Linked DNA regions of Oryctolagus cuniculus. The protein of the gene in region 2 interacts with the protein of the main gene of each other region in a pairwise test. Links are inferred from orthologs where the notes say so. Each region holds a gene or a part of one and is shown on either strand. Other genes may lie near its edges.

Evidence for each region.
Region 1: the proteins of LATS2 (region 2) and MAP3K5 come close enough for resonance energy transfer, tested with the Homo sapiens proteins (2 studies listed by BioGRID, with this or other methods). The link is inferred for Oryctolagus cuniculus from reciprocal best matches to the Homo sapiens genes LATS2 and MAP3K5.

The regions. Positions count from the first base shown.
Region 1 is NC_091436.1:32,159,667-32,163,484, reverse strand, and holds part of MAP3K5 (mitogen-activated protein kinase kinase kinase 5), read right to left. Parts: intron 1,677-3,818; coding exon 1,483-1,676; intron 584-1,482; coding exon 415-583; intron 1-414. UniProt on the Homo sapiens protein: Serine/threonine kinase which acts as an essential component of the MAP kinase signal transduction pathway. Plays an important role in the cascades of cellular responses evoked by changes in the environment.
Region 2 is NC_091440.1:91,958,956-91,962,873, forward strand, and holds the start of LATS2 (serine/threonine-protein kinase LATS2), read right to left. Parts: upstream 2,737-3,918; 5' UTR 2,530-2,736; coding exon 2,209-2,529; intron 1-2,208. UniProt on the Homo sapiens protein: Negative regulator of YAP1 in the Hippo signaling pathway that plays a pivotal role in organ size control and tumor suppression by restricting proliferation and promoting apoptosis.

The DNA.
Region 1 (3,818 bases), on a different chromosome or scaffold from region 2:
TTTCAAGCAATACAATTCAATTTCAAGCAACAACTGTCAATTTCAAGCAACACAATTTCAAAGAATAAAGGCTATATCCAGAAGGCTCTAAAAATTTCTGCTGTTTCCCTAAACCAGCTTTCATTTATTGACTGACAAGTGTGTCTGAGTGGAACAGACTGTACATAGGATAGCCCTATTAGCATTTTTCTTTTCTTTTTTTTTTTTAAAGGGAAAAATCAGGCCTTTACCATGAAAGTTTTCCTCAATCACTGACAGTTAACTCACAGGAGTCTTCTTTCATCATAAAATCATGGGATGGAAAACTCATGAGAACCAATTAAAAAAAAAACTACATATGGTAACAGAAATTTGACATTTGCACTCCCTTCCAACATCCTACAGGACAGATTTTACTGTTAAGTATCTTCTTACCTGGATATCTCTGTAGGAAAGTAACAGGTTGATCACAATATCTGCTGTCAAGACTTCAATATTATCTACTCGTTGCCGAATTCTTGCCAATTCAGCTGCCAATTCTTTACCAGTGTATAAATTTCGAGCTTTCCTGATATCGCTGAGTATAGATTCACGGAAATATTGGCTGTGGAGAAACCAAAACACATTCCAAAGATTTCAATAAAAATAGTAATTTTATAAGAAAATGAATGACATTTGTGTACTCATAGCTTTCAATTACTTAGTGTGAACAGAATGAATATCTCATAATCTGTCATTATTTAGAAATTTTGAAGTCCCTGTATTTCCTTTCATATTCTGTCTTGTTTCAAAAAGAGTTATAAGGAATACTATGTAAATGAATCTCCATGCATCGTACCACTTAAACCACAAAACCACATTTTTGATTGACTTTTCTGAGCAGGAATTGTTCTAAATCATATAACCTGTACTTTCTGACTCAGCATCATTTATGAACATAAACATTTGCTCTTAATCAACATCTGCCTCAGCAATTTTTGCAGAATTCTTGTCCTTATGCTGAAAAGTCCTTGGACCTTATTCTGATAAGGTTTCGGTATGTATTTTAGCTCTGACACTCCTATAAAGCAGTTAGTAGTCTTTATTCCTTCTGATACCAAGTTGTCCTGTGAGTAAAATAAACACAAGGCAACATGTGAACTATATGACATCTATGAGTATATTATCTGCTTGCAGGGGTGGGGAACCTTTTCTCTGCCAAGTGCCATTTGGATATTTATGACATCAAGCATGGGACAAACTAAATTATCAACTTAAAAATTAGCCTACCATAGATTTACTGAATTTCAAATCCCACCCATGATTGCCTTTGCAGGGCCAGACTAAATGATCTCACTGGCCTTATACAGACTGCCAGCGAGATATTCCCTACCCCGGAAGACAGTGTGCAACATTTATCCTGGTTCTTAGCTGTATATTGATTCCTGAGGATCATCTTCTATGGATAAGTAAAAGAAGTAGAACCATTCCTTATCATCACCAAATGGTGTTATTGCACATTACCTGGAACTTGCCTGTGCCACCTTCAAAAGTCGAATGAAACGATCCACAAGAGGTAAGCAGATGGGTCCGAGAAGCAGCTCCAAGTTGGGTTGCATGAGCTCAGTCAAGCCCTTCATGAGGCTGCTGTCACAGCAGTAGACCTTGTTGTGTGGTGTCACCATGTAAGGGACAAAGGTGTAGTTCCCAGTGCACATCTGTGGAGACAGCAGGCACCAGGAGGTAGGGAGCCAGCCTGAGGATACCACACGGACGAATCCCAGGCCCGACTCCAGTGACTCGTATTAAATAACACTTCTGAGTGCAAATATAGAAAAACCTCGCATTGTATGTATGATATATGAAAATAGAAATTTTCCCCAATTTCTTTAATTGCTTACTTCAAATAATTAGGACTTGGAAAGGAGGCAGAAACAAAGTGTGGAACAGTTTTTGTCACTCAATTAAATATTGATTCACCACCTTTCCTGGCTAAGGCACTATGATAGATGCTGTAGGAAAAATAGTTTAAAGCACAGCCTTTGGCCTTCAGGGAATTTAAAATGTACTCCGAGAAGCACAGCATAAACACAGGATACTAAGAGTTAACATTTAAAGGGCTTCCTACGTGACAGGCTGTGTTGTGAGGGAGACAGGAATGAAGCTGCTCCTCTCCAGGCTGCTGGTTCAGTCTGAGGTTCCATGAGTCCCCGGTTATTACCCAGAGACCCAGAAACTATCCTTGCTGCATCCATTTCCTTCCTGCCCCATATCCCACCAAAATCCTATCTATTGTGTCTTCAAAACAAATCTCCTGTTTGCTCACTTGCCTCCATCTTCCGTGTCAGCTCTTTCGTCCCTGCACCAGCTCACTGGGTACGAAGTCACTGTAATTGGTGGCCCTGCTTCCTTCCTTGCCTTTCAATCCATTCTGTACCCCGCTGGCAGCGAGCTGTAACACTCCATAGGTCCTGAGCACTCGTGCAGCTGCTGAGAGCCCCACCATGTGCTATTCAGGCTGACGATGAAACACTGCAGTGTGGTCCACAAGGGCCTGAATAGCCACATCCTGCTACCCTCTAACCTTAGCTCAGGCCTCTCTCCTCTCACTCATTCCACCCCAGGCTCACTGACCTTCTTTGGCTCCCAGATGATGCCAAGTGAGGGTGTGGCAACACCAACAAAAGCAAAGCTGGCAAGAAGAAAAAGGGAGTTGGCCTAGACATGCCAGAGTAAGCAAATCTGAGCAAAGCCTGGGGCTCAAGGAAGGGAAGTGCACGCAAAGAGCAGGATTCAGAACTGCACAAGGGGTCTTCAACAATGCATGGAAAATGTATTTCAAGAAAAAAACAACACATGGATTTCAAAATCTTTCACACCAAACTGCTTTCCACTCTGCTCCCCAAACTTTCTGAAGTACCCTCGTGTATGCTGGGCAGTGGAGAATCATAGAAAGACCAAGATCTTCTGTATATAAAGATAATTGAAAATGAATCCTAAAAAAGAAAAAAAAAAAGAAAATGAATCCTGATGAAGAATGGGATTGGAGAGGGAGTGGTAGATGGGATGGTTGCAAGTGGGAAGGAGGTTATGGGAGAAAAAGCCGCAACAATTCCAAAGTTGTACTTTGTAAATTTATATTTATTAAATAAAAAAAAGAAATTAGAATTGAGTCTGAGTGGATCATGGGACGCACCCCAGGACAAAAAAAAGAAGAATTTGAGGAAATTCAACAGGAAGCTACAAAGCATGACCAGATTGGCAGCAGTGGCAAGAGCAAAACAGGCACATGTGCTCCCACCCCAAAGGAAGCCTCACTGGCCCACTTCCAGGTCTGGACAAAGTGAAAGGAGGGGTCAAAGGTGATTCCACAGTCTCAGCTGGGGCTATCTCAAAAGACTGGCATCTTTCACAGAAAGCCAGTACAGTCAGACTACATCATTTATGAACATAGTGCACTTTGAGGCACTTACTATACATCAGGTCATGAATCACAAACAGAATCTGGCTTCCCATTAAACTATGAGGAAAACTTGAGAAGACTGACATTTGATTTGGTGTAGGATGAGATGAAATGGCGCTGAGAGAGGTTGAGATTTAAAGGATCAAGAGTTTGAGATTTAATATCATAACATCCAAAAGAAGAGTTGACTCAGAGGAAATGGGAGAGACCCATAAGAGATAAACCATATGCAAAGGTAAAAACCAAGGGTTACAAACAAGAACAAGATATGTGGAAGACCCTACTCTCACTGTTATGGGATCACAAGGAATCCAGGGCATGGGTTCGCAGTCATTTCGGCATACGATCAACCTGAGAATAGTTCTCTTCCCCTTGGCACTAAATGAGTAAGAGCAAA
Region 2 (3,918 bases):
ACTTTAAGGAAATATCTGAAGAGAAAGATGTTTACAAACACTCAAATCAAATAGACATTTAATAAGTCTTGGTCTGAATCAAATGAAATAAATGCACGTGTGTATACATGCAATCAATAAAACTGCATAAAATGCATGTATCTAAGACCCTGTACGAACAGGGCATTTACGGCCATTCTGATGAAAACCGGCGTTAAAGATAGCACCGAAGCTCAAAGTACAGGAGAACAAAACTGCAACTCAGTTAAAAGGCAACACAATAGGAGACAAAGGGGAAAGATGCTAGGCTAGGATTCTCTTCCCCCAGTATCCTGGCACCTAATAACCTGCTTTATCCAGACATGTGCAGCTCTAGCGGCACAGCTGATCTCTGCTCTCTCTCACAATGACTTTCCTGTGGGAAATTTCTGAAAGCAAATGCACCTTTTATCCAGGGCAGAAGCAGCCAGAGTTGGAGGGAAGGAAGGAGGCGCAGCTGTTGTAGGCGACAAAGCAGCACTCCACACAAAAGACAGAGTCACTTCCGAAGCATAACTGTGGTACATGGAGCTCTCTGTGCTGCCAAGTAACACACGTGAAATGTTGACGGGGCTCAGCAAGGCTTCATTATTTCATGGGCGGTAATTATCGCTGATGGATTTGACCCTACTAAGATGCCACCAACATCACCGTGGACTATTTGCTCAACTTGTTCCTCTTCCTCACGGCTGAAACACAAACGCCAAGGGCATGGGGCTCAATGGCCTCTTTGGTCAGCAAGTAATTTATAGAAGATTTAAAGCTTTGCCATTGGCCTGAACGTCCGGGGTCTCCCAGGCCTGCTCCTTCCCTACTCTTAACACCTGTCCTGCCAGGAGGTGGCACGTGGTCTCGCAGCCAGCACTGTCTGCAGCCTGTGCCTGAGAAAAGCAACTCCAACTAACAACACTCGCAAGTGAATCCTGGCACAGCTCACAGGGCCAAAGAAGCCCCCTGCAAAAGAGCAAGGATGCGTTTCACAAACACATCAATCCCCAGTGAGATGCTATGATGAGAAACTACAATAGGAGGCCTGGGCTTTGTTTTGGAAATAAGAGATGACAGTGCCAGCCTTTTCCCAGGACTGCGATGCCAGCTTCCTTCTGAGGAACTGAATGTGCTCACCCCATCCTGAAGAGCTCTGAGCACAGACTCTTGCTGATTTTCTAAGACAACAGAAAAACTTGGCTTACTTCCCTTTCATACAACTGTGAGTTCTGAGATGAGAGATGGAACTGGCTTTCCTAAGTCATTTCATAACACAATTACATTTTAGCTCCACTTTAGAGAGCCTAGTCCCTTAATCTGGATTCTTTTCAGCTATGTGAATTGCTAAGGGGTACAAATGTAGAGTTATAAATTGTGTATTTATACATTATTGGTGCCACTTCCCCTAATGTACCCCTTTATTCCTAAGCAACAGGGAAATCAGACCATATTTCCATGGCTCCTTCGGCTTTTTCTTTCTCATCTCATGAATGTAATTACATCTCCTGTAACAACATACACAATTTTTTTGAAAACAAGAGAAAACAGGGGCCAGCACTGTGGTGCAGCGGGTTAACGCCCTGGCCAGAAGCGCCAGTATCCCACATGGGCGCCAGTTCAAGACCCATCTGCTCCATGAATGATCTGGCTCTCTGCTGTGGCCTGGGAAAGCAGTGGAACATGGCCCAAGTCATTGGGCCCCTGCACCCATGTGGGAGACCCGGAGGAAGCTCCTGGCTCCTGGCTTCGGATCGGCACAGTTCCGGCCATTGCGGCCAGTTGCGGAATGAACCATCTGATGGAAGTCCTCTCTCTCTCTCTGTGTAACTTTTTCAAATAAATAAATAAATCTTAAAAAAAAAAAAAAAAGAGAGAGAGAGAGAAAAACAGCGTCAGAGAATTGCCAATGCATGTCAATCAAACCTCCCCTTAACTACATAAAAAATACACAAGCCAAAGACAAGACAAAGCCTGCCTCAGAACAACCCCAAATAAATCCCAAAGAAAGGGTGAAGTGTGAAAGCCCTTCTCATCTGCACAAGAATAGAATGGGGGAGGGAGACTTCAGGAGAGCCCAGAAACTTCTGGATCTTGCCTGAAAAGGAAAGGCAGCTAGAAAAGATGTTTTAGGCAGAAGGAACGGAGCAGTTCAAGGGCACACGCACAAACCCCCGGATGAGCAGTCACCAGCTCTGCACCCACCTGGTCACACCCTGCATTCACCAGCTCCTGCAGCATCTGCCGGTTAACTTCCGCCACTGTGGAGGTGCCGGATTCGTTAGCAAAAGGCAACAAGGAGTATCTGATTTCCCGCAGAGCTTTCTGATAAGGTCCAAACTTCGGGGTGGCTCTCTGCTGCTGCCTGGCGGCATCCTTGCTCCCCAGGGAAGCATCACTGTTTGGTCCCACGGGCAACCCCTGAGTGGAAGGCTTGGGCGGCTGCTTCAGCCCCTCGCGGATCTCCTGCAGTCGCTGTCGGCTATTTCCAGAATAAGTCGTGGCAGGAAAAGTCTTTGGCCTCATTGTTAGTCCAGTTTCCTTTTACCATAAATATAATCTTCTTAAAGTGTTTTATTATTTAAAAATAAAACAATAAAAAGCCGTCAATAGCATCAGTCAGTTGTAAACATATTTTCAAGACAACTTCCTTTTGAAAATTTGCTTTCCTTCAACTTTGTAGTTCCTAGAGAGAACCTAAATGTCCCAGAGTCTCCATGGCGAAGTCTCACTCTCTGAAAAACAGAACGGATGGGAGAAACATGTTCATTTGTGGTTTTCACATCATGGCAACGCTATGTTTCACAAAATGAACCCTGATCTTGGAAACACTCCACTTAGAAAAATAAGAAAGAAGCAACTGCACGCCAGATATGACAAAAATGCTGTTCATTTCTGGTTCGAGCACACATGACATCCAGGGCTGTCCCACGGTGTCTCCTGTGATTTGGAGTCTGTGAATAGTAAGCCTCCATCAAGGGCAAGAACAGCAGTATTAACAACTGACAGGTCATTGAAAACAATTCATTATGATATGACCTCATTTTGAAATCCACGGCTTGAGTGGTTCGGCTTAAATGTTCTACAAGGGATCCTGGCTCTCCAGCTTGTTCCTAATCACCAATTCACTGGTCCCTGCCTTAGTCCTTCATCCAGTGCCTCTACTAACCTCTCCACCCATGTAAGGCTGTGGCCCTTATAAAACCCTCCCAGTCTCCCTGAAAGGTGCCACAGAACTTGTCACACTGAAGGTGCTCTCTATTGCAATCAAAAGCACTTTCCACACGACACATTAGGAGACTGTGAAGGTAACACTTCCATGATTTTTTACAAGGTGGCCACTTGCCAGCATTTTGATGTAAACAGTAAAATAAAAATATCTTTCCTGTAGAAACTGAAACAAATGTGGGAAGCCTGTGAGTGATGTCTCTGTCAGAGTCACTGTGACCACATTAACACAAATGACTCTGCCACTCAAAAACTGGGTTGTTAATCCTTGAGGTGTTGGTCTGCAAGTGGCTGGGGCTTCTGGGGTCATGGTGATGACACAGCTCTTGATCTGGCTGCCATTTACAAGTGCCTTTTGTGGGGCCAGCACTGTGGCATACTGTGTAAAGCTGCCGCCTGCAGTGCCAGCATCCCATATGGGTGCCGGTTCGAGCCCTGGCTGCTTCACTTCCGATCCAGCTCTCTGCTGTGGCCTGGGAAAGCAGTAGAAGATGGCCCAAGTCCTTGGGCCCCTGCACCCATGTGGGAGACCTGGAGGAAGTTCCTGGCTCCTGGCTTCAGATCAGCTCAACTCCGGCTGTTGTGGCCAACTGGGGAGTGAACCAGCGAATGGAAGACCTCTCTTTCTCTGCCCCTCCTTCTCTCTCTGTGTAGCTCTTTCAAATAAATAAATTTTTTTAAAAAGTG